4 linked regions of the Callithrix jacchus genome follow. The protein of the gene in region 1 purifies or fractionates together with the protein of each later gene. This does not show direct contact. Links are inferred from orthologs where the notes say so. Each region holds a gene or a part of one and is shown in the gene's direction. Other genes may lie near its edges. The genes, in order: POLR2M, RPAP1, GPN1 and POLR2G.

Evidence for each region.
Region 2: the proteins of POLR2M (region 1) and RPAP1 purify together in Homo sapiens (affinity purification with mass spectrometry; 3 studies listed by BioGRID and IntAct, counting the BioPlex papers as one, with this or other methods). This does not show direct contact. The link is inferred for Callithrix jacchus from reciprocal best matches to the Homo sapiens genes POLR2M and RPAP1.
Region 3: the proteins of POLR2M (region 1) and GPN1 purify together in Homo sapiens (affinity purification with mass spectrometry; 3 studies listed by BioGRID and IntAct, counting the BioPlex papers as one, with this or other methods). This does not show direct contact. The link is inferred for Callithrix jacchus from reciprocal best matches to the Homo sapiens genes POLR2M and GPN1.
Region 4: the proteins of POLR2M (region 1) and POLR2G purify together in Homo sapiens (affinity purification with mass spectrometry; 4 studies listed by BioGRID and IntAct, counting the BioPlex papers as one, with this or other methods). This does not show direct contact. The link is inferred for Callithrix jacchus from reciprocal best matches to the Homo sapiens genes POLR2M and POLR2G.

Annotation. Positions count from the first base shown.
Region 1 is NC_133509.1:3,677,210-3,685,007, forward strand, and holds the start of POLR2M (protein GRINL1A), read left to right. Parts: upstream 1-2,606; 5' UTR 2,607-2,735; coding exon 2,736-2,848; intron 2,849-4,580; coding exon 4,581-5,228; intron 5,229-7,798.
Region 2 is NC_133509.1:45,067,979-45,075,137, forward strand, and holds part of RPAP1 (RNA polymerase II-associated protein 1), read left to right. Parts: intron 1-3,921; 5' UTR 3,922-3,997; coding exon 3,998-4,178; intron 4,179-4,456; coding exon 4,457-4,605; intron 4,606-4,889; coding exon 4,890-4,979; intron 4,980-5,767; coding exon 5,768-5,888; intron 5,889-6,459; coding exon 6,460-6,681; exon of another isoform or gene 6,682-6,738; intron 6,739-7,159. UniProt on the Homo sapiens protein: Forms an interface between the RNA polymerase II enzyme and chaperone/scaffolding protein, suggesting that it is required to connect RNA polymerase II to regulators of protein complex formation.
Region 3 is NC_133515.1:87,395,517-87,402,323, reverse strand, and holds part of GPN1 (GPN-loop GTPase 1), read left to right. Parts: intron 1-138; exon of another isoform or gene 139-245; intron 246-503; coding exon 504-594; intron 595-4,250; coding exon 4,251-4,358; intron 4,359-6,777; coding exon 6,778-6,807. UniProt on the Homo sapiens protein: Small GTPase required for proper nuclear import of RNA polymerase II (RNAPII). May act at an RNAP assembly step prior to nuclear import.
Region 4 is NC_133511.1:120,035,829-120,043,772, forward strand, and holds the start of POLR2G (DNA-directed RNA polymerase II subunit RPB7), read left to right. Parts: upstream 1-3,080; 5' UTR 3,081-3,151; coding exon 3,152-3,163; intron 3,164-3,297; coding exon 3,298-3,407; exon of another isoform or gene 3,408-3,690; coding exon of another isoform or gene 3,691-3,719; intron 3,720-4,966; coding exon 4,967-5,126; intron 5,127-7,112; coding exon 7,113-7,163; intron 7,164-7,269; coding exon 7,270-7,335; intron 7,336-7,569; coding exon 7,570-7,641; intron 7,642-7,838; coding exon 7,839-7,872; intron 7,873-7,944. UniProt on the Homo sapiens protein: Core component of RNA polymerase II (Pol II), a DNA-dependent RNA polymerase which synthesizes mRNA precursors and many functional non-coding RNAs using the four ribonucleoside triphosphates as substrates.

The DNA of each region.
Region 1 (7,798 bases):
TCATCGCAGAAGTGTATACATTTGTCAAAACTCAGACTTGTCCACTAAAATGGGGGTGTTTTACTACATGTAAATTATATCTCAATACATCCTCTGACAAAACATACACTATTAATTTGCATGTTATTCAGCTTAAAATAAATGATCTTGTTCTGCAAAGTTTTATAGATTCAACGTTGTTGCTATCTGTAGATTTAATTCTCATTTTAATTGGTGTAGTTTTCCATTTTGGCCGCCACTATAAACAACGTGGCAATGAAAGCACTGACACACATCTTTAGTGCATACAGAGTTTCCTTAGGAAGGCTGTGTACGTAGAGGCTGTTAAATTGTAGATTTATGCCTTCCAGTTTGCTAGATATGGCTGCATACCTTTTCCCAGTGTTTCTGCCAGTTCATTCTCTGCAACACGTGAGCTCCTATTTCTCCAATCAGAAAGAGTTTGGGATTTTTAAGATTTTTGTTTTACTTTGCATTTCCCTAAAGTTGAGGATCTTTTTTTAATTATGTTTTCTCGTTTTTTCAGTTTCCTCTTCTGTGAACTATTTGTATTTTTCCTTTTTTTCCTGCTGATTTGTTTTGCTTATTGATGTATAAGAAATTGAGTTTTTGTATTCTAGATGTCACTTTGCTGATTATATAATAGCCTTGTTACTGTAAATCAAAAGTAAAATGAGAAGGCCCCCTCAACCTTCTGGACCTCCTCCTCTAGGCCAGGGTCCTCCAAATTAACCTAAAAGACTGACTAGGCCATGACAGGAAGGGGCATCAGACATGCCTCATTTTGCTGTCCTTTTTCTTTTGGAATCCAGAAAAAGCTGCCCAGCATTTAATATCAACATGGACTTTAAGTCTGATAAGAAACATTTGCATCTTACTCTTTCTGAAGCCTGCTAATTGCAGGCTTCATCTGCATGGTAAAATTCTGGTCTTCACAACCTCTTATGATAACCCAGACATTCCTTTCAAGTAATTGTGGATCAGAAAAAAAAAATTAAATCTACCTATAACCTGGAAGCCCACCTTCCTGCACACTCCTTCTGCTTTGAGTTGTCCCAGCTTTCTGGATTAAGCCACTGTTCATTTTAAATGTGTTTGATTGACGTCTTGGATCTCCGAAAAAGGTATAAAATGAAGCTGTGCACCAGCCACCTGGAGCACGTGTCCTCAGGATCTCCTGAGGGCTGTGTCATGGGCCATGGTCACCCATATTTGGCACAGAATAAATCTCTTCAATATTTTGCAGAGTTTGATTTTTTTTTTTTTTGCCAACGCCACAGACAAATCACCTGATTCAAGGAACTTACTCAACTATTTCTCATTCAGTCAATGCTGGAGCAGGTTTAAGTGCCCTTTACAGGAAGTCTTATACTGAGAAAACTTGTTTTGATATGTTAACGAGTCTGATCAAAATGGACCAGATTTTGGGAATAGAGAAATGGTTGCAATTGTGCTCCCTGGAATAGCTCTGGATTTTTACCTAGATCGTCTGTCTCTTTGGGACGGAGCTGTTTGTGTTTATGTAGCATCTTACATAGGATTGACACACCTTCAATCTTCTATATCAAAAAAATTGGGGGAGGGCGTGGTTTTGGAGGTTATGGGGTTTTCAAACCTCCCAAGTGACATCTGCTGGGACTGCATGTCTTCCAACTCTTTCTACTGGGATGCACCTCTGGTAGAGGAACTACAAGAAGGTAAAAGCTGGGTCCGATACGAACCTGCCTTCTTCTCAACAGCTGTAAAGTAAAGTCTTTTCAACAATTTTACACATTTGGAAATAGGTCTAAGTGAAGACGGGGATTTTCAGACTGGTACGTTGGAAAAGCAGCTGGGCTTTTGGGTTTGAAATCGGGTGCTGTCGCTGGTTTTGTGCCCTGGGAATATTTATTTCCGTTTTCGTGACGCTGTTTTTCTATTGGCAAAGTAGGAAATTAGAAAAGGTCGTCAGGCGGTTTGTACAGCCGCTCCCACTCCTCACCTCTTGTGGGCCTTGGACATGTATGTTGGGGGAGACGTTCCGGATTGTTGCAATGATCTGGGAGTGCCTGGCAGCCAGAAGCACCTGAATGTCCCGCTGCAAACGCCGTTGCGCCCCAAGAAGGGACCGTCCAACCTGAACATTTCCGGACGTCACGAAGCCGGGCTAGGAGGCACCACACGCAGGCCGGAGTCTCCCACGCCTTGTCTCACACTCTCCTCTACGTCATTAATGGCCAGCTCATCCTTAAGGTTTCCACTGGAATCTCGCTTTGCAGACACCCTCCGAGGTGTCCAACGCAACGTTACTATTGTATTATTATTTGATCGTCCCCCTGACTTCCCCACTCCGTAAACTCCAACTATAACAGAGGACGTGGCTATTTGGTGACTAACACGTCGTGTTTGGTGAGGTCACCCTGGCGCAGAACACTTTCTGTACAAACCGATGCGCCGCTGACGACGGGTGAAACGCTCACACGAGGGGAAAGGGCGCCAAGCCGCGGCGCCGGCGTCATGACGTCACTTCCGCCCTGCAGCGATTTCCCCCCGGACGCCCCCTTTCTCCCGGTCCGTGTTTGTTTCCGGCATTTCAATAAAGCTCGATTCGGCTCGAAGAAGAGCCCGTTCTTCCGGGAAAATGGCGACTCCCGCTCATGCCCCGGAGTCACCGGCGGCCGCGGATCCGGCGCTAGCTGCGGGGCCTGTTGAGGAAGCCGAGTGCCCGCCGCCACGCCAGCCTCAGCCTGCGCAGAATGTCCTCGCTGCCCCGCGGCTTCGAGCCCCAAGCACCCGAGGACCTGGGGCAGCGGAGTTTGGTGGAGCTGCGGGAAATGTTGAAGCGCCAGGAGAGACTTTTGCGCAACGTGTAAGCTGCGGTCCCGCGGAGTCACTGCCAGGCTCCTTCAGCTGGAGCTCCCTGGGCGCTCCCCTTCCCTCCCTCACTCCATTCACTTCCCTGGAAGGTGACCTTGCCTCAGTCACATTCGCCTCAGTCCTCCGGGCGAGTGGACAGAGGACTTGCTGCCGCAGAGCCGTCCCTCTCCCTGGCCAGGCACGTTTGCCTGCGAGGACGACTCGTCCTGGACGGCTCCTTAGCGCTGCAGTGAGTTAGTAGCTCCTCGCTGGTGGTGTTTTCCCGGGCACTCTGTTGGCTCCGTGAAGCAAGAGTCTGCATCCTAAGCCTTTGGCCGCCCGCGCCCCTAACCCATAACGGATTGTCAGCTTCATGTCTGGATTCTATGGTTACAGGAACCGGAGGAAATGGGGAGAGTGGGATGTGAGGAGCTGTTTATTAGGCCGGGAAAGTTCGACCCTCATTCAGCTGGCTGATTTAAAGGATTTTAGTAGGGGAGCCACGTGATAAAAGTGATTTTGTGTTTTGGGCAGTTGTGTTCAGCAGCTTCGTGCAAAAGATGGTTTGAAGGAATAAAAAGCAGAGGACAGTAGAAGGATGCTTGCAGAGAGGCTCCCCACGAGAGAGTTGTAAGGAAGTGAACTAGGAAGGAATTGGGAAAACTTTAAGCATGGACTAATTTACATGTAGTTGGCAGAGATGGCCGAAGTTTCCTATGTATATGGAACACCACTAGCAAAAAATAGGAAAATTCGGGGAGAGGAATAGATCCAAGGTTGATTTTACTTAGGGTGTGCGGAGGTGAGAGGAGAGCAGGACAGACATTTGGTTAAGTGAAAACCAAACAAAAGCTGGAGAAGCAGTCATGAGGCTCAAGAAAGAGAGAAATTGGAAAAATATAGAAAACATAGGAATTTCAGCTGTAGTGTTGTCAGTTGTGAGAATGAATGCATTGTCGAAAAGAACAGAGGACCCAGGGTTTAATTTTTTCTCTCCATTGATTCTATAAAGAAAAGGGAATCAGAAAAGGAACTCTGTTATCCAACAAAAGAGATAAATATTTGATTGGGGTCCAGACAGGTGTTTTGACCTTGTGAGAACAGGTTTTCAATCTATGGCAGTGAATTAACTTTCTGGTCTTGGGACTCCTTTATACTTTAAGAATTATTGACATCCCATGGAATTATTTATGTGTTATATCTAGCAAAATTCATTTACTTATCAGAAATGCAGCTGAAGTCTTTAAAACGTAAGTATACACAAGCACACATTCTATTCTAGAACAATGATGTCATCACATGTCATGTAGCCTCTGGAAAACTCCACTGTACCCATGTGAGGAAGTGAGAGGGAAATAACATCTTGGTATTATGATGAAAGTAGTTTTGACCTAATAGACCCATCCCCACACTCAACCCCATCCTCACATTTTGGAGATTTAATGACTGCTGGTTCTTGGAATGCCTTACGTGATTATTATATGCTTGAAGTACTTTTGCTGAAATTCTAATTTGCTGAGACAAATGAGGCATATATTCTCTGTTCCTGCATTCCCGTGTTTTTTGGGCTCTTTGGATAATGGCCATTTATTTGTTTTATTCCCATTTTGGAGAAGTTAGAAATCAGATATTCGATTTAAAAAATTGGCTTTTTTTCTTACAAGTTAATGCTTAGCTTCTTTAATGTTGTATGTCAAGTTTAAAAACGTGACTGTAATATATATGTATTCTTTTCCATTTGACAGAAAATTCATTTGCAAATTGCCCGACAAAGGTAAAAAGATTTTTGACTCTGTTGCCAAACTGAAAGCTGCCATTGCAGAACGTGAAGAAGTTAGAAGAAAAAGTGAACTGTTTCATGCTGTTAGTTTAGACTGTCAGCTAAGGCAAGAAGCCACTGCAGAGGTGGATGTCGATACAGATAAGGCCCGGAATTCTGACCAGATACTTGATGCTTCATCACTAGCTCCTGGCTGTTCCTCTGTAGATAACATCAAGTCATTTGAAACAACCTCACGAAACCAGGGACTTGGACGTCCTACTCATGAAGGTGATGAAGAGACTCCAGAGGTTGAGTACGCAGTGAGTAAGGGCCCAGCTTCCAGCAACAGAGACGGAGCGCCGCCTTCGTCTGAAGCTAGTGAGCATCACCCGCAGCATCGTGTTTCAAGTCAAGCAGAAGATACTTCCAGCAGCTCTGACAGCCTGTTTATTGACAGGTTACAGGGGATCAGCATTGCAGACCAGGGTGAACAACAGTCAGAAGAAAGCACAGGTGCCATGAACTTGACAGGCCTTTCTCATGCGACTCAGAAGAAGCCTCATTACATGGAAGTGCTAGAAACGCGAGCCAAAAACCCAGTGCCCCAGCTGCATACATTTAAGACCAATGTGTAAGTACCATCGGAAACAGGCCTGTAACAGGGGCATAGTATTTGTTAAACCTAAAAAGTTACGAGAAGCTGGTTGTGATGGTGCTTGTCTGTAGTCCCAGGCTTCTCAGGAGGCTGAGGTGGGAAGACAGCTTGAGGACAGGAGTTGGAGAAGGTTGGGCAACCTTTTCTTTTAAAAAAAAGTCAGGAGAATGCTCTAAGTTCCGTGGCTTTGTGTGAGAACTGCCTGTTAGAAAAGAACATACTGTGGAAACACAGACCAGCCTGGATGGAGTGGAAGATTCATGTTGAAAAATACTTAGTTTTGAAAAGGTCTTAAATAGCACATGGGGGAGTATTAAATTTCAGGCTGTGACCCGGTATTTCCTAATAAACAGGGTTGGAGAGAGAATTTATTATGACTTCTTTTTTTCGGAACCATTTTTTACCGTACAGCTCTGATTAGTGTACTATCAAAGTGTACTCACTGTGATTAGTCTGTGAACTAAGGGGAAGGCAGTTGCAGCTGGAGCTCATGGGCTTTCCAGCAGAAGAGATGTGCATGCTCACTAAATGTAAGCAAGCAGCAGGTGTTGTGGGGACACAGTGAAGTCAAAATTCTTAAACTCCTTTGCCTTATTAATGTTGTATCTCAAGTTTAAAAACATGGCCATAATGTATACACGTATAATGTAATAAACTCCCTGTTCTTCAGTGAGGTTAGGAGCTGGATGAAGACCCAAGGTTTACACACTTGCAAAAGAGTTAAACTACATACTAATAGTTTCAGGGAGAAGGAAGCTGAGAAGCGGTTTGAAAACTGTGAAAATAGATTCATGCAGGATGGGCAGAAACTCTGCTTATCAGTTCCTTGCCATAAATTTATTTCTGACATTTCAGGAAAAATAAAATCTTTTTGAAAAGAATTGCTATTTACTTGCAGCAAATGTAACATTCAGCTCGGGTAACTGCTACCTTCCCGTGCTGTATTTACAAGTACATAACATCAAATGCACCGTTAAATCACTACTACCATTCTCTGAAAAACAGAAGACCTCTAGCGAAAAGTACCTAAAACATGCGTCTTTTCTGTTACACTTTAACTCAACCCCAGCATTCATTTTAACCTGAAAACGTGATTTCTGCTGAATACAAAATCAGGACTATAGTATATTAATGTGGTCAGGTAATCTCTTGTATACAGTGAAGTACACGTTTCACTTCCAGGATGACATGTAGAAAACTAGAACCGTCATCTAGCCAATAAATACAACAAAGAATACATTAATCCCAGTTCTGTATTATGGTCATTTATGTAGGAGTTGGAGGGAGATAAGGGAATAGTGATGAGGGTTACCAAGAGTGCAGGAAGTTTAAGAGAGAGGGAGCCTCCTGTGTAGTTAAAGGAGAGCAGGAAAGGCAGGGCTTTGAGGAGTCCAGAGGCTACACACATGGTAAGAAGTGGCTTGGAGGCTGGAAAATGGGCTTAGGGAGTGTCCGTTTGAGCCTTTCTGCTCTTCCTTCTGCATACTCTTCTGGCCTCGTATATCACCTGGATGCTGGAGGCTGCCCCTTGTCTACCTCTACTCCAGATCTTCCAGAAGTTTTAGGGTTACATGGCCAATTAGCCATAACACTTGACCACTTGGGTGTTCCCTGGCATCTCAGCTTAATCATGTACAAAGTGGCACCCCTGTTTCTTTCCAAGGTAATTTCCATATTCTCTAATAGTGTCCCCACCTTCTTCTTGGTTTTCTTCCCCCAAGGTATCTTTCATTTTTCTCATCTCCTTATCTGCTCACCATGAAGACCTACGTAATGTATTTTCCTTGATCTTCATCTGTATAATTGTTCTTCATCTTCTGTCAGAGTGAAGACACTCCCCTCTCTTGGGCTACAACTGTGGCTTCTTCCTGCCTCTAGTTTAACTAGCAGTCAGTCTCCACTGCTGCCAGAGTGAAATTTTAAGATGGAAATCTGAACTTGTTCTGTTGACCTTCTCATTGCAGTCTGGGCTCATCCTACTTCCCAGCCCTCTCTGTGGCCGTCTTTTCTGTATAGCAGAAAAGCTGGGTGTCTGTGCCTGCTGTGCTTCCTCTCACTCCCCTTGCTGGGATGCACTTCTCTCCTCATTTAAGGGGTAAGCAGTTATTATTCCAAGACTGTTCAAATGTCACTTCTTGGAAGCTTTTCTGACAACCTCCCTGTCTCCCACGGGAACTGGCCATTTCCTTATGTTCCAGTGTATCTCGTTGAGGTATCTGTCATAGTACCTCTGGTATTATATCGCACTGAAACTTTACATGTTTATTTCTCTCTACGAGGCAGTAAACCCTTTTGCAAATGTTCATTGAATGAATAAGTGAAAAAAGAAAAGCTCCAGTTAAAGTATAAGGTTTGATGAAGGAAAAGGCAAAGAGCCTGTATGCGCAAACACACTCCTATTTGTCAGCGCAGTGAATATTGGGAAACTGCTTACTATTACCTTTGGAGGAGAATTGATTGCTAAGGTTAAAGGCCTTTTGTGTGAATGGTTTAAATGTGTCTACAAATAAAGAAAATAGTCTGTGTGACACAAGTTTTCCTTTTAT
Region 2 (7,159 bases), about 41 Mb from region 1:
AAGGCGGGTGGATCACGAGGTCAACAGATCGAGACCATACTGGTCAACATGGTGAAACCCCGTCTCCACTAAAAATACAAAAATGAGCTGGGCATGGTGGCGAGTGCCTGTAATCCCAGCTACTCAGGAGGCTGAGGCAGGAGAATTGCCTGAACTCAGGAAGCGGAGGTTGTGGTGAGCCGAGATCGCGCCATTGCACTCCAGCCTGGGTAACAAGAGCGAAACTCCATCTCAAAAAAAAAAAAAAAAATTAATGAATATGGAAAAAGTGCATAGAGAACAGTATGTGGCACATGCTAAGTGCTCAATAAGTGTTAGCTATAACAATAACGTTTTTATTATTATCAGCATCTAGCTCAGGGGTTTCAAAACTAGTCAGCCAGCTTTCAGACATGCTTGGCCAGCCCGGTGTTTTTGTTTTATAATTTTTTTTTTTTGAGACGGAGTTTCACTGTTGTTACCCAGACTGGAGTGCAGTGGCACGAACTCAGCTCACCGCAACCTCCGCCTCCTGGATTCAAGCAATTCTCCTGCCTCAACTTCCTGAGTAACTGGGACTACAGGCACGCACCACCATGCCCAGCTAATTTTTGTATTTTTAGTAGAGACGGGGTTTCACCATGTTGACCAGGATGGTCTCGATCTGTTGACCTCGTGATCCACCCGCCTTGGCCTCCCAAAGGCTGGCATTATGGGCGTGAGCCACTGTACCTGGCCTTTGTTTTATAATTAAGATATTATTTACTTACCACAGAATTCATCATTTTCTTTTTCTTTTTTCTTTTTTTAATTTTTATTTTGTCAAGCCCAGTGGATTCCCATTTATTATTATTTTTTTGAGATAGAGTCTTACTGTGTCGCTTAGGCTGCAGTGCAATCATGAACTTGGCTCGCTGTAACCTCCGTCTCCCAGGTTCAATCGATTCTCCTGCCTCAGCCTCCTAAGTAGCAGGAATTACAGGTGCACACCACCATGCCGGTCTAATTTTTTTATATTTTTTGTAGAGATGGGGTTTCACCATGTTGGTCAGGTTGGTATTGAAACTCCTGACCTCGTGATCCCTCCGGCTCAGCCTCCCAAAGTGTTGGGATTACTGGCATGAACCACAGCGCCCGGCCAGAATTCATTTTTTTAAAGTTTACCGGCCAGGTGCAGTGGCTCAGGCCTGTAATCCCAGCACTTTGGGAGCCTGAGCTGGGCAGATTTCTTGAGCCCAGGAGATTGAGATCAGCCTGCACAACATGGTGAATCCCTGTCTCTATAAAAAATAAAAAAATTAGCCGAGTGTGGTGGTGCATTTGTAGTCTCCGCTTTTTGGGAGACTGAGGTGGGAGGATGGCTTAACCCCAGGAGGTGGTGGTGGAGGGTGCAGTGAGCCAGGATCATGCTACTGCACTCCAGCCTGGCTGACAAAGCCAGACCCTGTGACAGTAAATAAATAAAGTTTACAATTCATGGCTTTTAGTATACTTACAGTGGTGAACATTTTAATTACTTCAGAAAGAAGCTGTCAATTCCCTTTTCCCTCCAGCTCTCTTAGCCCCTGGCAACTACTAATCTACTTTCTGTCTCTATGGATTTGCCTATTCTGGACATTCTGTATGAACAGAATCATACAATATGAGGCCCTTTGTGGTTAGCTTCTTTCTTTCTTTTTTTTCACCAAATAAAATGTTTCTGAGTCATGTAGCCTCTTTCACTTAGTGTAATGTTTTCAAGGTTTGTGCATTAGAACTTCATTCCTTTTTACTGACAAATTAATGACTCTACGTTAATTTCTTTTTTAGCCCTTTGTGCCATGGTTACGTAAAGTCTTAACCTTTGGGGTAGCTGGGTGAAGACTATATATGGTAACTGTTCATACTATCTATATAAATCTGTAAATCTAACATTATAACAAATTACAAGTTTAAAAAGTACATAAATTTATAATATATAGAGAAAAATAGAAATGTGCATATTTTATCATGATACAAAACAAACATTTGATTGCTCACTTATTTGTTGATTTTTAAAAAATTTTATTTATTTTTTTATTTTTATTTTTTGAGATGGAGTTTCGCTCTTTTTACCCAGGCTGGAGTGCAATGGCGCGATCTTGGCTCACCACAACCTCCGCCTCCTGGGTTCAGGCAATTCTCCTGCCTCAGCCTCCTGAGTAGCTGGGATTACAGGCACGAGCCACCATGCCCAGCTAATTTTTTGTATTTTTAGTAGAGACGGGGTTTCACCATGTTGACCAGGATGGTCTCGATCTGTTGACCTCGTGATCCACCCACCTCGGCCTCCCAAAGTGCTGGGATTACAGGCTTGAGCCACCTCGCCCGGCCTTTTTTTTTTTTTTTTTTTTTTTTCTTAAAGACAGGGTTTTACCATGTTGGCCAGGCTGGTCTCAAACTCCTGACCTCAAGCAATCCACCCACCTCGCCTCCCAAAGTGCTGGGATTATAGGCATGAGCTACCGTGCCTGGTTTTTTAATGTTTTTTCTTTGCTTTTTTATCTTTTAATCCTCTGATCATTTATCATTGGCAAGGTTGAGCAGATATAGAAGTGCATACATTCTGCAGCTTGAATGCCTAATTTCAGATTGTTTCTGCCATTTCCTATGTGATTTGGGGGCAATTAAATTAACTTCCTGTGTCAAGTAGGAGGATCACTTGAGCCCAGGAGTTTGAGGCTGTAGTAAGCTAAAAGATTATATTGAATTATAGATTTGGGAAGTATTAAGTCTTCTAATTCATGAACATGGGATATCTTTCCATTTGTTTAGGTCTTTATTCTTATTGTTACTATTTTTTGTAGAGACATGGTCTGGCTTTGTTGCTCAGGTTCATCTTTAACTCCTGGCTTCAAGCAATTCTCCTGCCTCAGCCTCCCACAGTACTGGGATTACATGCATAAGCCACTATGACTGCCTCACTTGTTTAGTACTTTAATTCAACAATGTTTAATAGTTTTCAATGGGCAAGTCCTGTACTTCTTTGGTTACATTTGTTCTAATGCATTAGCATTTTATTCTTTTTGTTGCTGTAATTTAAATTGTTTTCTTAATTCCATTTTCTGCATGTTCTTTGCTCGTGCATAGACATACAATTTTTTGGCCGGGCGCGGTGGCTCATGCCTGTAATCCTAGCACTCTGGGAAGCCGAGGTGGGTGGATCACCTGAGGTCAAGAGTTCAAGACCAGCCTGGCCATCATGGTGAAACCCCATCTTAAAAAAAAAAAAGACATACAATTTTTTTTTTTTTTGAGATGGAGTTTCACTCTTGTTGCCCAGGCTGGAGTGCAATGGTACAGTCTCGGCTCACTGCAACCTCCACCTCCTGCATTCAAGTGATTCTCCTGCCTCAGCCTCCTAAGTACCTGGGATTACAGGTGCCCACCTCAATGCCCAGCTAATTTTTTGTATTTTTAGTAGAGACGGGGTTTCACCATGTTGGCCAGGCTGGTCCTGTCCTCAGGTGATCCACCCACCTTAGACTCACACAGTGGTGGGATTATGGACATTAGCCACCGACCCGCCACAAATGTTTTTTAATATTGATATTTTACAGCCCAGGGTTTTTAATAATTTGCATACCTTTAGGCCAAGCACATCCTCTTCAGTTTGATACAGTATCATCATCCCCCATTATGACACATATATCTGCCTGGCCCCTAATGAAATTTTCCTCTGGTCTCCTGCTAGTTCTTTTTGAGAGTTTTATCATCACCCATAGATTGTAAACAACCTAAGTTGGCTGTAAATATTGTTGCTAGGCTGATGACATCAGGGAGGGCTGAAGAGAGAGGGAATGGCAATAAGGTATGATTGAGGAGGAATGAGTTCATGTGAAGGATAAAGAAGGTCTTCTCTGATGCCTAATAAAGAAAATCAGGATTCAGTTGCAGAGGGCCCATATTCTTTCTTGCTCTTAGGGATGAATAAGAGAGAATCCCCACAGGAAGACACTGCTGGAGACAGTCGTACTGGGGAGGCAGCTGGAGCAGCAAGATGCTGTCGAGGCCAAAGCCAGGGGAGTCCGAGGTGGACCTGCTGCGCTTCCAGAGTCAGTTTCTTGCAGCTGGTGCAGCCCCAGCGGTGCAGTTGGTAAAGAAAGGAAATAGGGGCAGTGGTGATGCCAACTCAGACCGGCCTCCGCTACAGGACCATCGGGATGTGGTGATGTTGAACAGTAAGTGCCCGGGGGTATGAGGCTGAGAAGTAGACAGGGTACAGCCTCGGCCCCTCCCTCTTCCCAATGTGGTTGGATTCAGACACATTGTTATTTCAGACACTGTTGCTGCAGCCCCATTTTACAGAGGAAGAAACTGAGGCTCAAAGGGGTTAAATACCCTATGCAAGGTGACAGCTTGAGCCAGCGCCCCATGGCAGCCAAAGCTTTCCTTCCTAGGCTGCAGTGACTTCCTAGGAAGGTGCATATACTCATATTTGGGATCTTTTCTTTCTCAGATCTCCCAGATCTGCCCCCAGCTTTGGTCCCTTCTCCCCCGAAGAGAGCCAGGGCCAGCCCTGGCCACCCCCTGCCTGAGGATGAGGACCCAGAAGAGAGGCTGAGGAGGCATGATCAGCACATCACTGCTGTCTTGACTAAGATTATTGTGCGTCTCACTCTGGCTGAGTAGGATAAGATGTTCTTGGGCAACAGGGATATTGGATGCTCGGGGTGGGTAAGCCTTATGAGTAGAGGCTGCTTCAGAAAGGGAGACTTTTCCCCAATGCAGTCTGGTTGGGGGCTGAGTTAGAATCACTTTGCCCTGAAGGGAGGAGGGTCCATAATCCCCCTGAGTGAGGTTCTATCATTCAGAACTGGGCTAATAGGATAGGGTCCAGCCTAGGGAAGTCTGTACATTGTGCTTCACAACTTCGTGCTTTGTTGCTACAGGAACGAGATACAAGTTCAGTGACCGTGAAGCTGCCTGTGCCCAGTGCTGTTGCTTTCCCCCCTGTGTTTCATCGCTCTCGGGACACACAGGTAGGCAAGGGTGAGTTTAGGTGGTGCCTAGAAGACAGACAGGTGAGTCTCATAGGCATCTTCAGACTACCGACAGGTGGTTTTAATGACAGGCAATTTCATTTACAAAGCAGGACCGTACATACTCGTTACATCTTTTAATCTTCATAACAAACATATAAGGGAGGTATCATGATGATATCTTGGGGATGAGGATTCCTTATTCCCATTTTTCAGATAAGGAAACTGACACCCCCTAAAGAAATAAATAACTTGTCCAACACCAGACATATAAGAGATAGAAGAGGCCGGGCGCAGTGGCTCACGCCTATAATCCCAGCACTTTGGGAGGCTGAGGCGTGTGGATCACGAGGTCAAGAGATTGAGACCATCCTGGTCAACAAGGTGAAACCCCGTCTCTACCAAAAATACAAAAATTAGCTGGGCATGGTGGTGTGCACCTGTAGTCCCAGTTACTCAGGAGGCTGAGGCAGGAGAATTGCTTGAACCCAGAAGGCGGAGGTTGCGGTGAGCCGAGATCATGCCATTGCACTCCAGTCTGGGTAACAACAGCGAAACTCCATCTCAAAAAAAAAGAGATAGAAGAGCCAGAACTTCAGCCCAGTCTGTCAGATTCTAAGATCTTTACTCCTTTGGCCTCTCCTTTTTTCTGAGGACGAGTGTTGTTATCCCCGGAGATTGAGCAAAGCCCCTTTTATCTCTTTGTTCCAGAGACCTTGGTATAAAGAGGCTGAGAGGAAAGTGGGATAATGAGCATCAGTAACCAGGGTTTTCTTTATGCCCCACAGGGAAAATCAGCAATATCTGGTAAGAGAAGCATCTTTGCCCAGGAGATTGCAGCAAGGAGAATATCTGAAGCCAGGGTCCCATCAGTTGGGGAAGTTGTGCCCAATCTGGGCCCACCAGAGGGTGAGCTGGGGTTGAAGAGGCTTGGGCTTGGCCTTTTTAAAAGACACAATCATAGGGTTATTTTTGAAGACACGTCTTCCTGCCTCAAATGGGAGGTACATTTGAGCCATCTGAAGTAATCTGAGAATACAAGTTATGGGAGGCTTGGGTTCATATCCTGGTCTCAGGTGCTGGGAGTGACACAGGCCATTATGTAATCCTAAGAGAAAGGGAATAGTCTGGCAGAGACTGTAAAATAAATGTATTGGCGAAGATTCCTTTAATGATGCAAATTATTAGCTGAAGAGCCGGGAGCAGGCCCCTAGCTATAGATGGCTGCCTGGATATCCAAGAGAAGAGTCAGAAATTAGGGTGTTTCTGGAGGAAACCTTTTCATAATAGTACTAGGAAAGTGGTAAGTGGAGAAGCCACCTCGAGTCCTATGCCAGACCCAATGGGGTCTGCACTCTGTCTAAAGAAAGCTTGGATCTGTACCTGTCTCCAGGGCTAATAGCCTTATAGAAGAGGGCCAGAAAGCCCAGTTAGAGCCATGGAGGACAGAGCAATGAATGTGGTCATACCTTTCTTCCAGGTGCCGTGACCTGTGAGACACTGGCTCCTAGGGACCGGGGCTGCCAGCTTCCTGGAAGCAGCCACAGCTTCCAGGGACCTAATCTGGTCACAGGGAAGGGACTCAGGGGTCAAGAAGCTGAGCAGGAAGCCCAGACTATCCATGAAGAAAATGTAGCAAGACTGCAGGCCATGGCTCCTGAGGAGATCCTGCAGGAACAGCAGCAGTTGCTGGTGCAGCTTGGTATGGGTGCCTTGCTTTCCTGCTGAGACCAGGCTAGGAGAGGACCACCACTATTGAGTAAGGCTTACTGTGAGTTCTGGACACTGTGCTGAGTACTTTAGTACTTTTTTTTTTTGAGATGGTCTTGCTCTGTCACCCAGGCTGAAGTGCAATGGCATGATCTCAGCTCACTGCAACCTCCACCTCCCAAGTTCAAGTGATTCTCCTGCCTCAGCCTCCCAAGTAGCGTGATTACAGATGTGCGCCACCATGCCTGGCTAATTTTTTTGTATTTTTAGTAGAGACGGGTTTCACCACGTTGGCCAGGCTGATCTCTCCAATTCTTGACCTGAAGCGACCCGTCCACCTCGGCCTCCCAAAGTGCTGGAATTATAGGCATGAGCCACTGCACCTAGCCAAGGGCCTGCTTGTAACCACTGTACTTATATAACTGTACTACCCTGGTATAGTATACAGTATGCGTTATTATAGCTATACT
Region 3 (6,807 bases), on another chromosome or scaffold:
CTCTTATCGCAAATGATCAAGTGTCCTGCTTCCCTAGGCTCGTTGTGTCCTGTGTCTCTGAGCCTTCCTGTTATTTCTACTTCAGAGTTTTGTGTTTTTTCCCCATATAATAAAGTTTATTGTATCTTTTTTTTTTCATTTTGTAGCCTGGGGATGAATAAAAAGTAATGCTTTCTATCTAGGCATTTTCCCTAGCCCGTTTATATGTTCCAGATCCACCCTGGACTCAACTCAATAGTTTGGAATTGAGGGTTCTTTTGAAATGTTTTTGTGTTCAGTTTCTGAATCCTTTAAATCAGTGTGTAGAGCCCTCCAGTCTGAACTTCTGCTGTAACCCAGGTTTATGCTGCTTAGTGTTTCTCTCCTGATACCAGATGTCCCTTATCTGCATCAGTTTTTATGTAGCCTCTGTATGTGTATAATTCTTCATCTCCACTGAGAAGTCTGGCATCTAATTTGGGGCTCCTTTTTGAATATGATGACATTTTTCTCTGTATATACAGGCAAATGCAGAAAGCCAACATCAGAGAGAACAACTAGAACGCCTTCGAAAAGATATGGGTTCTGTAGCCTTGGACACAGGGACTGCCAAAGGTATTGGAGGTCTTCTTGGTGTTAGGAACTAAAAAAAGGTTACATTTATTTCTACTCAGCAGGATTCTATTTATGTATGAGAGAGAAAAAGATAAAGGAAATATGGTTTTAGACATATATATATATACACACACACACACACAACACATATGCATACATATATATTAAAAATAAAGGATTTGGAGAGGCAAACAACTAGAAATTTTATACAGCTATACCACTTTGGATTCCTCTTTCAGGAAGTTTTTGCTTTACTCTGGCAATACACTTAATATGTGCTGTGGGGTTGTTTGTTTGTTTCTAACACTTTTAATCCTCCCCAATTTTTAAATTTTTTTCATTAAAAAAAATTTTTTTTGAGTTGGAGTCTCGCTCTGTCACCCAGGCTGGAATGCAGTGGCACGATCTCGGCTCCCTGCAACCTCTGTCTTCTGGGTTCAAGCAATTTTCCTGCCTCTCCTGAGTAGCTGGGACTACAGGTGTGTGCCACCATGTCTGGCTAGTTTTAACATTTTTAATAGAGATGAAGTCTCATGATGTTGTCCAGGCTGGTCTTGAACTCTTGGCCTCAAGCAGCCCTCCTGCCTTGACCTCCCAAAGTGTTGGGATTATAGGCATGAGCTACTGTCCCCAGCCCACTTTTTTTTTTCTTTAACTTGCTTTGGTGAGCAAGGACTATTTACTTTTATGACTGTACCATGTTGTTTTTTTTTTTTTTGAGACGGAGTTTCGCTGTTGTTACTCAGACTGGAGTGCAATGGCTTGATCTCGGCTCACCGCAACCTCCGCCTTCTGGGTTCAAGCAGTTCTCCTGCCTCAGTCTCCTGAGTAGCTGGGACTACAGGTGCGCACCACCATGCCCAGCTAATTTTTGTATTTTTAGTAGAGACGGGGTTTCACCTTGTTGACCAGGATGGTCTCGATCTCTTGACCTCGTGATCCACCCACCTCGGCCTCCCAAAGTGCTGGGATTGCAGGCGTGAGCCACTGCGCCCGGCACCATGTTGTTTTAATTATGTAATTATGTTCAATATCTGCTAGGTCACATTCTCCTCATAATTTTTATTTGGTTGTCCTTACATAGTCTTCCACATGAACTGAGTATCAACTTTAGTCCCCTAAAAAGCTTTTTGGTATTTTTGTTGGGATTATATTATATTCATAGTTAATTTAGGGAGAAGTGACATCTCTATGATGTTCAGTCTTGTTACCCAAGACCATGGAGTGTCTTTGTATTTGTCAGGTCTACTTGTATCTTTCAAGAATGTTTATGGTTTTCCTCATGGTGGTTTTCCGTATTTCTTTTTAAACCATTTTTGTTATTTTAGCCAACCTTTTTGACCAAGAGTTTTTGCCTGTTTGTTTTTAATTTTTTTTTAAACAATTCATTTTTATTTGAGACAGGGTCTTGCTTTGTTACCCAGACTGGAGTGTAGTGGTGTGATCTTGGCTCACTGCAGCCTCTGCCTCCTGGTTTCAGGCTATTCTCCTGCCTCAGCCTCCCTAGTAGCTGGAACTATAGGTGCCTGCCATCATGCCTGGCTAAATTTTGTATTTTTAGTGGAGATGAGCTTTTGCCATGTTACCCAGGTTGTACTTGACCTCCTGGGCTCAAGTGATTTGCCCACCTCAGCCACTTAAAGTGCTGAGATTACAAGTGTGAGCCACTGCATCCAGCTTGAAATTTATGTATGAATGTATGTTTGCTGTGTATTTATTTTTGAGGCAGAATCTAGCTCTGTTGCTAGAGTGCAATGGTGCAATCTTGGCTCACTGCAACCTCTGCCTCCTGGGTTCAAGTGATTGTCGTGCCTCAGCCTCCCAAGTAGCTGGGACTACAGGCTCGCGCCAACACGCCTGGCTAATTTTTGCATTTTTAGTAGAGGCAGAGTTTCTCCATGTTGGTGAGGCTGGTCTTGAACTCCTGACCTCAGATGATCTGCCCGTCTCAGCCTCCCAAAGTGCTGGGATTAGACATGAGCCACCATGACCAGCTGACTTTACTGAATTTTCAAAAATTTTTTGAGTTAGTTTTATCATTGGCTCTCCAGGGGTTTTTAGGTTAGTTTTCATTTAGCATGCCTTCCACCCTGACCGCTGTATGTTGATTAACTGCCCTCAAGATTCTGGTGCAAGTCTCTTGTAGCTTAGTGGGATCCTGCAACCAAATTGACTGTACTTAAAAGAAAAACTCCATTTATTTATTTATTGTAATAAATGGGGGCCAGGTGCGGTGGCTCATGCCTGTAATCCCAGCACTTTGGGAGGCCGAGGTGGGCAGATCAACGAGGTCAAGAGATCGACACCATCCCGGCCAACACGGTGAAACCCCGTCTCTAGTAAAAATACAAAAAAATTAGCTGGGTGTGGTGGTGCACGCCTGTAGTCCCAGCTACTCGGGAGGCTGAGGCAGGAGAATTGCTTGAATCCGGGAGGCCGATGTTGCCAGTGAGCTGAGGTTGTGCCACTGCCCTCCAGCCTGGCGCCTGGAATGAGACTCTGTCTCAAAAAAATAAAATAAAATAAAATAAAATAAATTGGGGATAGTTTTTTTTCCTTCTTATCAGCAACACTAGCATTTTTTTCTTCTGGGACATCTTTCTTAAAGGAGTGATGTTTCTGTTCATGAAAGTTATTGCTATATTGAACAGCAAAGCTGAAAACAGACTGGGTTTACCAGTTAAGTGATCTCATTTGTGCCATCCTTGCTGCAAACCTTAGCAAAATACATTTTCATGTGCCACAGTCCTTTAGAATCATTTCTGAATATGTCAAGTGATTGTTACAACTGCTGCTACAAAGGGTCTGCTGTGCTCCGCTAACCTGTTGTAGGGTGGGAGAGTTTAAGTAAATCATTTGAGGAAAGTCAAAAGTATAGTTGCATAATTGTTAGTTGGGTACAGAAATGAAGCATTTACTGTCAGCATGTCCTGTCATCCTCCTTTCTCACAGGCCCCTTGAGATTTGTGCCAGTTGATGTTGCTGCCTCTGGCCACCCTTATTCCCTAGCCGAGCTCTCACAAGCCTCAAAGGCTCCTGAAGAGAGAGTGGCTGTGTCCTCCCATGGTAGTAGTGAGTTGACTAGATTTTTCTTCTGATTACTGGAGCTCAGCCCTTATTAGTTTTTCTGAATAGAGAATTTTACTTGTATTAGTGTATTTGATTTTCTATTTTTCCCCTACCTCCTCTTCTTAAATAATACCCTGGCTCCTCAATATCATTTCAGCCTGTATTTTCTGCAGACCTTCTCTGAACTTACATTTCCACCAGAAGGCTTCCTTAGCACTCCACACTTTCACTGTGACTCACCAGCACACTGGATCTGTTCAGGTGTTTTTAGCTTTCATAGGAGAAACCATCACTCCTTCCAAGCTGTGAGCCAGTAAAAAGAATGATGCTACTACTAAGACAAGCTTCTTAAAAATTATTTCCCTCAGCTTAAAAAATGGGACTCCTAGGGCTGTTTGCCTTATGAAAGCACTTTGTGAACTAAGTATAGAAATGTTAAACGGTATTAAGAATACATTTAGAAGAGGTAATCCTGCATTTACCTGTATCATGAGAACTTTCATCCTGCCAGTTTATGATCATAGTTATTAGTGATTCCAAATCAACTTTTGAGAAGGCATATGCACTCATAGCTGTTTTCACTGTAGACAGCTTATCTCCTGTGCTGGACCCTTCTGAATTGATCCTGACTCGAGGAACCTTGGATGAAGAGGAAGAGGAAGCAGACAGTGATACTGATGACATTGACCATAGAGGTGAGAGGAGCTGAGGTGGCTCATGGCAACACAGCATCTGCTTATCCTCACATTGTTTCCCCAGGAGTTTCTTATTGTTAAGCATGTAACCAGTAATAGTGGGGGAGAGGAGATGGTAAAGGATACCGCACCAGAAAAGAGTTTCCTATATTGAAAGTTCCTGTCCTGCCTACTGGAGGGTTAATATTGAGCTGATTATAGACCTTTCATTGGTCTTGTGTCTCCTTATCTTTAGGTCCTAACTTGGTTTGAGGAATCCAGGACTTTTGTTTGTTGTTATTAGGATTTTGTTTTAAGAATACGTAAGGACTGGGTGTGGTGGCTCATGCCTGCAATCCCACAGCTTTAGGAGGCCAAGGCAGGAGGATTGCTTGAGTCCAGTAGTTCTAGACAATCCCGAGCAATAGTGAGTCCCAGTCTCCACAAAAAAGAAAAAAAAATGGCTGGGCGTGGTTGCTCACAGCTATAGTCCAAGCTGCTTGGGAGGCTGAGGTGGGTGAGTTGCTTGAGCCCAGGAATTTGAGGCTATAGTGAACTATGATTGTGCTATGGCACTCCAGCCTGGGTGACAAAGCAAGACCGTCTCAAAAAGAGGATTATATAGGTGGTATGGACTATGATAGCATGGCTCTGAAAACCCAAATTCCACTTGGCATGGTTTTATGGACTGTGAGCAGAATCTGATTATTATTTTTTGAGACAGAGTTTTGCTTTTTCCCCCAGGCTAGAGTGCAATGGTGTGATCTCAGCTCACTGCAACCTCTGCCACCCAGGTTCAAGCAATTCTCCCACTTCAGCCTCCTGAGTGGCTAGGACCACAGGCGTGTACCACCACACCCAGTTAATTTTTTGTATTTTTAGTAGAGACAGGGTGTCACCATGTTGGCCAGGCTGGTCGCGAACTCCTGACCTCAAGTGATCCACCTACCTTGGCCTCCCATAGTGATGGGATTACAGGCGTGAGCCACCACACCCTGCTAGAATCTGACTCTTAAAACAACCACAGGCTGGGTGCGGTGGCTCATGTCTGTAATCCCAGCACTTTGGGAGGCCGAGTCGGGTGGATCACCTGATGCCAGGAGTTCGAGATCAGCCTGGCCAATATGGCAAAACCCTGTCTCTACTAAAAGTACAAAAAATTAGCCAGGCTTGGTGGTGGGCACCTGTAATGCCAGTTACGTGGGAGACTGAGGTGGAAGAATTGCTTGAACCTGGGAGGCGGAGGCTGCAGTGAGCCGAGAGTGCACCATTGCACTCCAGCTTGAGCAACAAGAGTGAAACGTGGTCTCAAAAAAAAGAAACAACCACAAGATTAAGGTCTAAACTATGACCAAGAGCAAACCTTGGCCAGGCATTGTGGCTTATGCCGGTAATCCCAGCACTTTGGGAGGCTGAGGTGGGTGGATCATGAGGTTAAGAGTTCAAGACCAGCCTGGCCAAAATGGTGAAACCCCATGTCTACTAAAAATACAAAATTAGCCAGGCGTGGTGGCGAGCACCTGTAATCCCTGCTACTTGGGAGGCTGAGGCAGAGAACTGCTTGAACCCAGGAGGTGGAGGTTGCAGTGAGCCAAGATTACACCACTGCACTTCCAGCCTGGGTGACAGAGTGAGACTCCGTCTCAAGGGGAGAGAAAAAAAAAGCAAACCTCCTTGTTCTTTGGCTGGGTTTTATATGTAAATTGCCCCATTTAATCAGATTTCTTAAGATGTAATTTACCAACAGTAAAACTCAACTTTTTGAGTACATAGTTTGACGAACTTTAACAAACACATACTTTCTTGTAACTACCATCACAGTTGAAATGTAGAACATTTACCCGACCCCTGAAACTTCCTCATGCCCCTTGTTTTTCAGTCCTTGTCCTAAATACCCAGAGCCTGGCAACCACTGACTGATACTGCCTTTTCCAGAATGCCATACAAATAGAATCACAGTATTTAGCCTTTTGCATTTGACTTTTTGGACTCAGTAGTATAGTCTGTCCATGTTGTTGCATGTATCAGTAATATGTTCTTTTTTTATTGCTGATAGTCCATTATTGTGGATGTACCACAGTTTGTTTATCCATTCCCCAGTGGATTGATATTTGCGTGGATTTTAGCTGTTATGAGTAAAATGACTATAAACATTTCCAAATAGATCTTTGTGTAGACATATGTTTTCATTTCTCTTGGTTAAAAATACCTATAAGTGGGACCTTATTTTAACTACTATGAGGGAGTTATTCTTTATACATAGAAACATTTTGGGCAGCATGATAAAGCATGCTTCTAGGAGACATTTCCTCTTTGAGAAAGGTGAGTACTTAGTTTTTTAGAAGTAACATACTTTTTCTGATGGATGGGTGATAGGGGCTCTAATCAGTTTTGTCTAATGAAAGAGAATTGAAAAGGAATTGTCCTTTTTTCCTTGCAGTTACAGAGGAAAGCCACGAAGAGCCAGCAT
Region 4 (7,944 bases), on another chromosome or scaffold:
GTAGAGACGGGGTTTTACCATGTTGGTCAGACTGGTCTCAAACTCCGGACCCCAGGATCCACCCACCTCAGCCTCCCAAAGTGCTGGCCTTACAGGCATGAGCCACCGCTTTGGTGTCTTTTTTATCCAAAGTTTCAGTCTTAGTAGAGTGTACAGTAGTAAAGAATACAACTTTCCCAGGTGTGAGGGCTCACACCTGTAATCCCCACATTTTAGGAGGCCGAAGCAGGAGGATCACTTGAGGCCAGGAGTTCAAGACCAGCCTGGGCAAGAGAATGAGACCCCTGTCTCTGCAAAAAATAAAAAAGTTAACTGGGCATGGTGACCCAGACCTGTACCTTCAGAATTCGATGAGCACTCCAGCCTGGCAGTCTGTGTGACAGAATGAGACCCTTCTTCAAGAAAAAAAAGGAGGCTGGGCGCAGTGGCTCATGCCTGTAATCCCAAGACTACTTTGGGAGTCCAAGGTGGGTGGATTACCTAAGGTCAGGAGTTCAAGACCAGCCTGGCCAAGATGGTGACCCCATCTCCACTAAAATCTAAAAAAAAAAAAAAAAAAAAGAAAAAGAAAAAGGGCCAGGCGCGGTGGCTCACTCCTGTAATTCTGACACTTTGGGAGTCCAAGGAGGGTGGATCACGAGGTCAAGAGAACAAGACCATCCTGGCCAACATGGTGAAACCCTATCTCTACTAAAAATACAAAAATTAGCTGGGTATGGGGGCATGCAACTATAGTTCCAGCTACTGGGGAGGCTAAGACAGGAGAATTGCTTGAACCCAGGAGGTGGAGGTTACAGTGAGCGGAGATCACACCGCTATACTCCGGCATGGCGACAGAGGGAGACTCTGTCTAAAAAAAAAAAAAAAAGAAAGAAAGAAAAAGAAAATAACAAACAAAAGAACACTAGCTTTGGAGCAGGTCAGCTATTCATACCCAAATACCTCCACTTAATCTCTTTGGGTCTCATTTATAAAGGTGGGAATAATAGTGGTATCAGTATCAAGCTAAAATAACGCGCAGGGTCAGAACCTATTAAAAGAGTTTTTTTCAAGTGTGAAGTGTGAGGATGGACCACCTGGAAACACCAACTCTGGAGGAATGGAGTCAGTGTTCTGAAGTAAAAGTTAAGATTTCAGCCAGGCGCGGTGGCTCATACCTGTAATCCCAGCACTTTGGGAGGCCGAGGCTGGTGGATCACGAGGTCAAGAGATCGAGACCATCCTGGTCAACATGGTGAAAACCCGTCTCTATTAAAAATACAAAAAAATTAGCTGGGCATGGTGGCTCGTGCCTGTAATCCCAGCTACTCCGGAGGCTGAGGCAGGAGAATTGCCTGAACCCAGGAGGCGGAGGTTGCGGTGAGCCAAGATCATGCCATTGCACTCCAGCCTGGGTAACAAGAGCAAAACTCCATTTCAAAAAAAAAAAAAAAAAAAAAAAAAAGTTAAGATTTCATTTGTATAGGCAAGGACACAGGAATTTTATCGGGATTACATTTTTCATAGAAGATTGGTACTTAGTGTAGTTACGGCAATTTGGTTGGCTATAGACAATGTTTCTTTTTGGAAAGAGACATGTAACATTTTTTTCCAGAGCATGAAATAGTCATGGATTTTCTGTCATGTAGTCTAAGCAAAGCAGAACAACAAAAGGCAAGTTAATCTATAACAAGGGTCATTCATTAAGGAGGCAGGAGGTTTTTTTTGTCCCTGAGGTCATTTAAGTCTTTCTAGTCAATGTAGAGAACAAGACAAATAAGAAAGTGAGTTGATCTATAATCTGAGAACAGAAATTGTAAACTGTATGTGACTCGAAGTCACATCTCTCTCGAGGCTTAAAGTGGTTTTTGGGATTCCAACAACTTTTTTTTTTTTGAGATGGAGTTGTGCTCTGCCGCCCAGCCTTGAGTGCAGTGGCACAATCTCAGCTCACTGCAACCTCCTCCTCCCAGGCTCAAGCGATTCTCCTTCCTCAACCACCAGAGTAGCTGAGATTACAGGCGCCTGCCACTGCGCCCAGCTAATTTTTTTTTTTTTGAGATGGAGTTTCACTCTTGTTAACCAGGCTGGAGTGCAATGGCGCATTCTCAGCTCACCGCAACCTCTGCCTCCTGGGTTCAAACGATTCTCCTGTCTCAGCCTCCCAAGTAGCTGGGATTACAGGCATGTGCCAACATGCCCGGCTAATTTTTTTTGTATTTAGTAGAGACGGGGTTTCACTATGTTGGCCAGGATGGTCTCGATCTCTTGACCTTGTGATCCACCCGCTTTGGCCTCCCAGAGTGTGCTGGAATTACAGGCGTGAGCCACCGCGCCCAGCCCCCCCCTTTTTTTTCAAGTTGGGGTTTCACCATGATGGTCAGGCTGGTCTTGAACTCCTGACCTCAGGTGATCCACCTGTCTCGGCCTCCCAAAGTGCTAGGATTACAGGCGTGAGCCACCGCGCCCGGACTGATCCCTTCTCTTAGAAAAGAAAAAAGAAAGACAAAGGTCTGGTGTGGTGGCTCATGTCTATAATTCCAACATCTTGGGAGGTTGAAGCGGGAAGATCACTTGAACTCAGGAGTTGGAGACCAGCCTGGGCAACACAGAGACTCGGTCTGTACAAAAAAAAATTTTTAAAAATTAGCTGGGCGTGGTGGCACGCCTGCTGCCCCAACTACTTGGGAGGCTGAGATGGGAGGATCGCTTGGGGCCACGAGTTGGAGGCTCCAGTGAGCTATGATCCCGCTAGTGCACTCCAGCCTGGACAACAGAGACTCTCTCTCTGCCCAGGGCAGTGAAGTACTTGGGCCTCCAACAAACATGTGTAGATATATATTTGCTGAATCGATTTGCTGCACTCTGTTATAGCGCTTGACTTATGGATTCTTTCACTAATTAATCTCGTTATAAGTATTTACTGAGTGGTTGTTATAGTTTGTGCATTAAGAGAATTGCCTTTTGAGGCCCAGGTTGGGCGGGCGAGGGGCGTGGCTTTAGTGGTTCCCGCCCACGACAGCGAGGCCCAATCAAACCCGCGAAGGGGGTGGAGTTCCTCCCTCTGTCGCGGCCGGCCCGGAACTGGGGTTGCTGAGGCTATCTGTGCTTCCGGTGGATTCCCGGAGGCGGCAAGAGGTGTGGATTTAGCCTCGCAGACTGCTCTGGGAAGATGTTCTACCACGTGAGCAGGGCTCAGGGTGGCAGCAAGGGCTGGGTGGGAAGGAGGAGCAAAGCCGGGCGCCGGCGCGAGGGGCCCCTTCTTGCCCGATAACCTCCCAGCGCCTGGCCTGGTCGCCATCCCACTTTTCTCCGCAGATCTCCCTAGAGCACGAAATCCTGCTGCACCCGCGCTACTTCGGCCCCAATTTGCTCAACACGGTGAAGCAGAAGCTTTTCACCGAGGTGGAGGGGACCTGCACCGGGAAGTGAGTGCCGACTTCACCGCGCAGCCAGATCGCACACACGAGGCGCTATACCTGCAACCCCTCCCCAGCTCCTGCTCGTCCTGCCACCCACTCTGGGGACCTCTCTCACTCTCTCAGGCTGCCAGTTGTTTCCTGCTTTGGGTTCCCAGGACTCCCTCTGCAATGCTGGCCGATAAGACTTCCTTCCCTCCGTTGAAATTAATCATTCATTTACTCCTCAAACATGTTAAAAAAATCCTTGCTGTGTGCCAGGACCCGTGTTGGGCCCTGAGAACAAGATAGAATGAGACCAGCCCTCGTGGAGTCCACAGTGTAATTACTGTTCTTGTGTCTGCTCTCCCTCTGTCATTCTGCTGGTTTTCTCTTATCCCCTGTGCCCAGGGACCACACACCATGGGCCTCAATATATATTCTGAATGAATGACCAGAAAAGGCAGATCGAGTTGGGGGAGGAAGGAAGCAGCTTGGGACTTGAACATCTCTGGGCTTTGTGCAGAGGAGCCTCTCCCAGGGTGGTATTAATGACCCAGCCCAGGGCAGTGGAGTTACTTGGGTCTCCAGCATCAGAAAAACCTGGGGTGGTTCTTGAACATGCAAATTCCTGAACCTCATTGTTTCCTACAGAATCAAGATTCTCTGGGGCAGACCTGAGAATCTGCTTATTTTTTCTTTTTTGAGATGGAAGTCTCACTCTCACCCAGGCTAGAGTCCAGTGGCACGATCTCGGCTCACTGCAACTTCTGCCTCCCGGGTTCAAACCATTCTGCCTCAGCCTCCCAAGTAGCTGGGATTACAGATGTGCATAACCACATCCAGCTAATTTTTGTTTTGTTTTTTTTTTCTTGTGATGGAGTTTTGCTCTTGTTACCCAGGCTGTAGTACAATGGTGTGATCTTGGCTCACTGCAACCTCCGCCTCCTGGGTTCAAGCAATTCTCCTGCCTCAACCTCCCGGGTAGCTGGGACTACAGGCACGCGCCACCATGCCCAGCTAATTTTTGTATTTTTAGTAGAGACGGGGTTTCACCATGTTGACCAGGATGGTCTCGATCTCTTGACCTCGTGATCCACCCGCCTCAGCATCCCAAAGTGCTGGGATTATAGGCGTGAGCCACTGTGCCCGGCCTTAAGTTTTGTATTTTTAGTAGAGATGGAGTTTCTCCATGTTGGCCAGGCTGGTCTCAAACTCCTGGCCTCAGGTGATCCACCTGCCTCGGCCTCCCAAAGTGCTGGGGTTACAGACATGAGCCACCGTGCTGGGCCAGAGAGTCTGCATTTTAATAAGATGATTCTCAGGCATCCCAAAGATTGGCCCCTGTTGGCTCAAGGTCTCCAGCCATCTTGGACATTTATTGTGAAATTATCAGAGCAGCATTTGGCCTAATACATACTGATCTGTGTCCTGTCTTCTCTTGGTCATTAAGCTCTGGTAACTGAGGTGCTAGCAACTTGTCCTTTTGTTCTCCTTGACCCTCCTCCCAAAAGCTCAGTGACTTTTACTGCAGAATCTTTAGAGGCTCATGGACACAAAATGCCGTTTGTTTCTCCTCCTCCTTGCAGGTATGGCTTTGTAATCGCTGTAACCACCATTGACAATATCGGTGCTGGTGTGATCCAGCCAGGCCGAGGCTTCGTCCTTTATCCAGTTAAGTACAAGGCCATTGTTTTCCGGCCCTTTAAAGGAGAAGTCGTGGATGCTGTTGTCACGCAGGTCAACAAGGTGAGACCATACATAGGGGAGCCAGTGGGGTAGTCTCTTGGAAGATGTCGTTGGGTCCTGGCTCCACTTGATAACTCTGTGCCTTCAGCTAAGTTACTTTACTTTTTGTTTTTGTTTTTTTTTTTTTTTGAGACAATTTTGCTCTTTAACCCAGAGTACAGTGGCACGATCTTGGCTCACTGCAACCTCTGTCTCCCGGGTTCAAGCGATTCTCCTGCCTCAGCCTCCTGAGTAGTTGGGGCTAAAGGCATGTGCCACCACGGCTGCCTAATTTTTTTTTTTTTATGGTAGAGATGGGGTTTTGCCATGTTGCCCAGGCTGGCCTTGAACCCCTGAGCTCAGTCAGCCCACCTCAGCCTCCCAAAGCACTAGGATTACAGGCGTGAGCCACCATGCCTGGCCAGTAACTTTTACTTCTTGTGCTTCACTTTAAAATTGTATGGCAATCTGGCCCTGTGTGACTCAGAGGGCAAGGGAGTCATTTATAGTCATAACAATAGAAGCCTGCATTGACTGAGTAGTTACTATGGGCCAGGTAATGTGCAGAGACCCACAGTGATTTTACAAGGTGGGTGCTTTTTTACAGAAGTTGAAGCTTAAGTTAAGTGTACTGGTCAAGATCATGTGCCCAACCAGTGTTCAAATCTTTTTTTTTTTTTTTTTTTTTTTTTTTGAGACGGAGTTTTGCTCGTTACCCAGATTGGAGTGCAATGGCATGCTCTTGGCTCACCGCAACCTCTGCCTCCTGGGTTGAAGCAATTCTCCTGCCTCAGCCTCCCGAGTAGCTGGTACTACAGGCGTGTGCCACCATGCCCAGTTAAGTTCTTTTTGTATTAGTAGAAATGGGGTTTTACCATGTTGACCAGGATGGTCTCGATCTCTTGACCTCAGGATCCACCCGCCTCGGCCTCCCAAAGTGTTAGGATTATAGGCATGAGCCACTGCACCTGGCCTTTTTTTTTTTTTGAGAGGTAGTCTTGCTCTGTTGCCCAGGCTGGGTGCATTGGCTCAGTCTCAGCTCACTGCAACCTCTGCCTTCTGGGTTCAAGCGATTCTCCTGCTTCAGCCTCCCAAGTAGCTGGGATTACAGGTGTGTGCCACTACACCCAGCTAATTTTTTGTATTTTTAGTAGAGATGGGGTTTCACTATGTTAGCCAGGATGGACTCGATCTCTTTACCTTGTGATCCACCTGCCTTGGCCTCCCAAAGTGCTGGGATTACAGGTGTGAGCCACTGTACCCAGCCCAGCTCTTCACTACTTTAAAATGAAAGTTTAGGCCAGGCACTAGTACCTCATGCCTGTAATCCCAGCACTTTGGGAGGCTGAGGCAGGCACATCACATGATGTCGGGAGTTCAAGACCAGGCTGGCCAATATGGTGAAACCCTGTCTCTACTAAAAATTCAAAAATTAGCCAGGCATCACATGGTGTGTGTGTGTGTGTGTGTATAGTCCCAGCTACTTGGGAGGCTGAGGCATGAGAATCACTTGAACCTGGGAGGTGGAGGTTGCAGTGAGGTGAGATTGTACCACTGCACTCCAGACTGGATAACAGCGAGATTTTGTCTCAAAGTAAATACATAAATAAATACAAATAAAAGTCTAAAAAAAACAGAGAAAAGGGCTGGGTGCATTGGCTCATAGTTATAATCCCAGGGCTTTAGGAGGCAGAAATGGGAAGATTGCTTGAGCCCAGGAGTTTGAGACCAACCTGGGCAATATAGCAAGACTGTGTCTCTACAAGAAGTTTTTAAAAATTAGCCTAGCATGGGGGTGTGCACCTGTAGTCTCAGCTATTCGGGAGGCTGAGGTGGGAGAATCGCTTGAGCCCGGGAGTTCAAGGTTACAGTGAGTTGTGATCGCACCACTGCTTTCCAGCCTGGGCAACAGAGTGAGACACTGTCTCAAAATTTAAAAAGCAAAAAACAAAAACACAATACTTTAAGTAGCAAAAAAAAAAGCAAGATCACTCATTTTCTTTCTAGGTTGGACTCTTCACAGAAATTGGGCCTATGTCTTGCTTCATCTCTCGACATGTAAGTCTAGGCACACTGGATGGGGCTGAAGAAGAGAGATACCCATTCATTACCATCTGCTGACGCATCCATTGAAAGTGCTAACCCAGTCTCACTTTCCTTTCAGTCCATCCCTTCAGAGATGGAGTTTGATCCTAACTCCAACCCACCATGTTACAAGACAATGGATGAGGTAAGTGGGCAGGAAGAAGTCAGGGAGGAGAGAATCAGCCATCCTCAGTATTGTCCTGGGGATGACTGAGTACAGATGGTCCCCAAATTACCATGGCTTAACTTATGATGTTATGACTTTACAATGGTGCGAAAGTGTTGTGCATTCATATGCCCCCGGACTTACAGTGGAGTCGTTGTGATGTAACCTATCATAAACTGAGGAGCATCTGTATACTATTCCTTCTCTTCCCAGGATATTGTGATTCAGCAGGACGATGAGATCCGCTTAAAGATTGTGGGGACCCGTGTGGACAAGAATGACATTGTGAGTCTTTTCCCTGCCTCTGTGCCTATACCAGGTTGAGCTGAGAGCTGTCGATTCCTTACCACCCGTGGTTTCAGGGGGTCTATGCTCTTCTCCCAGGGAAAAGGGGTGGATAGGCAGAAGGCCTGGGGCTTCAGGGTGGAGGTTGGTTCTGTGCTCACCTTGGCTTCACTTTCTTTTTACCTTCCTTCCTGCAGTTTGCTATTGGCTCCCTGATGGATGATTACTTAGGTGAGTGCCTGATTATATGTGCCAGAGCTACTGCCTGGAGAAGGGGTGTGTAGGTGTGGGGAGTAATATAGG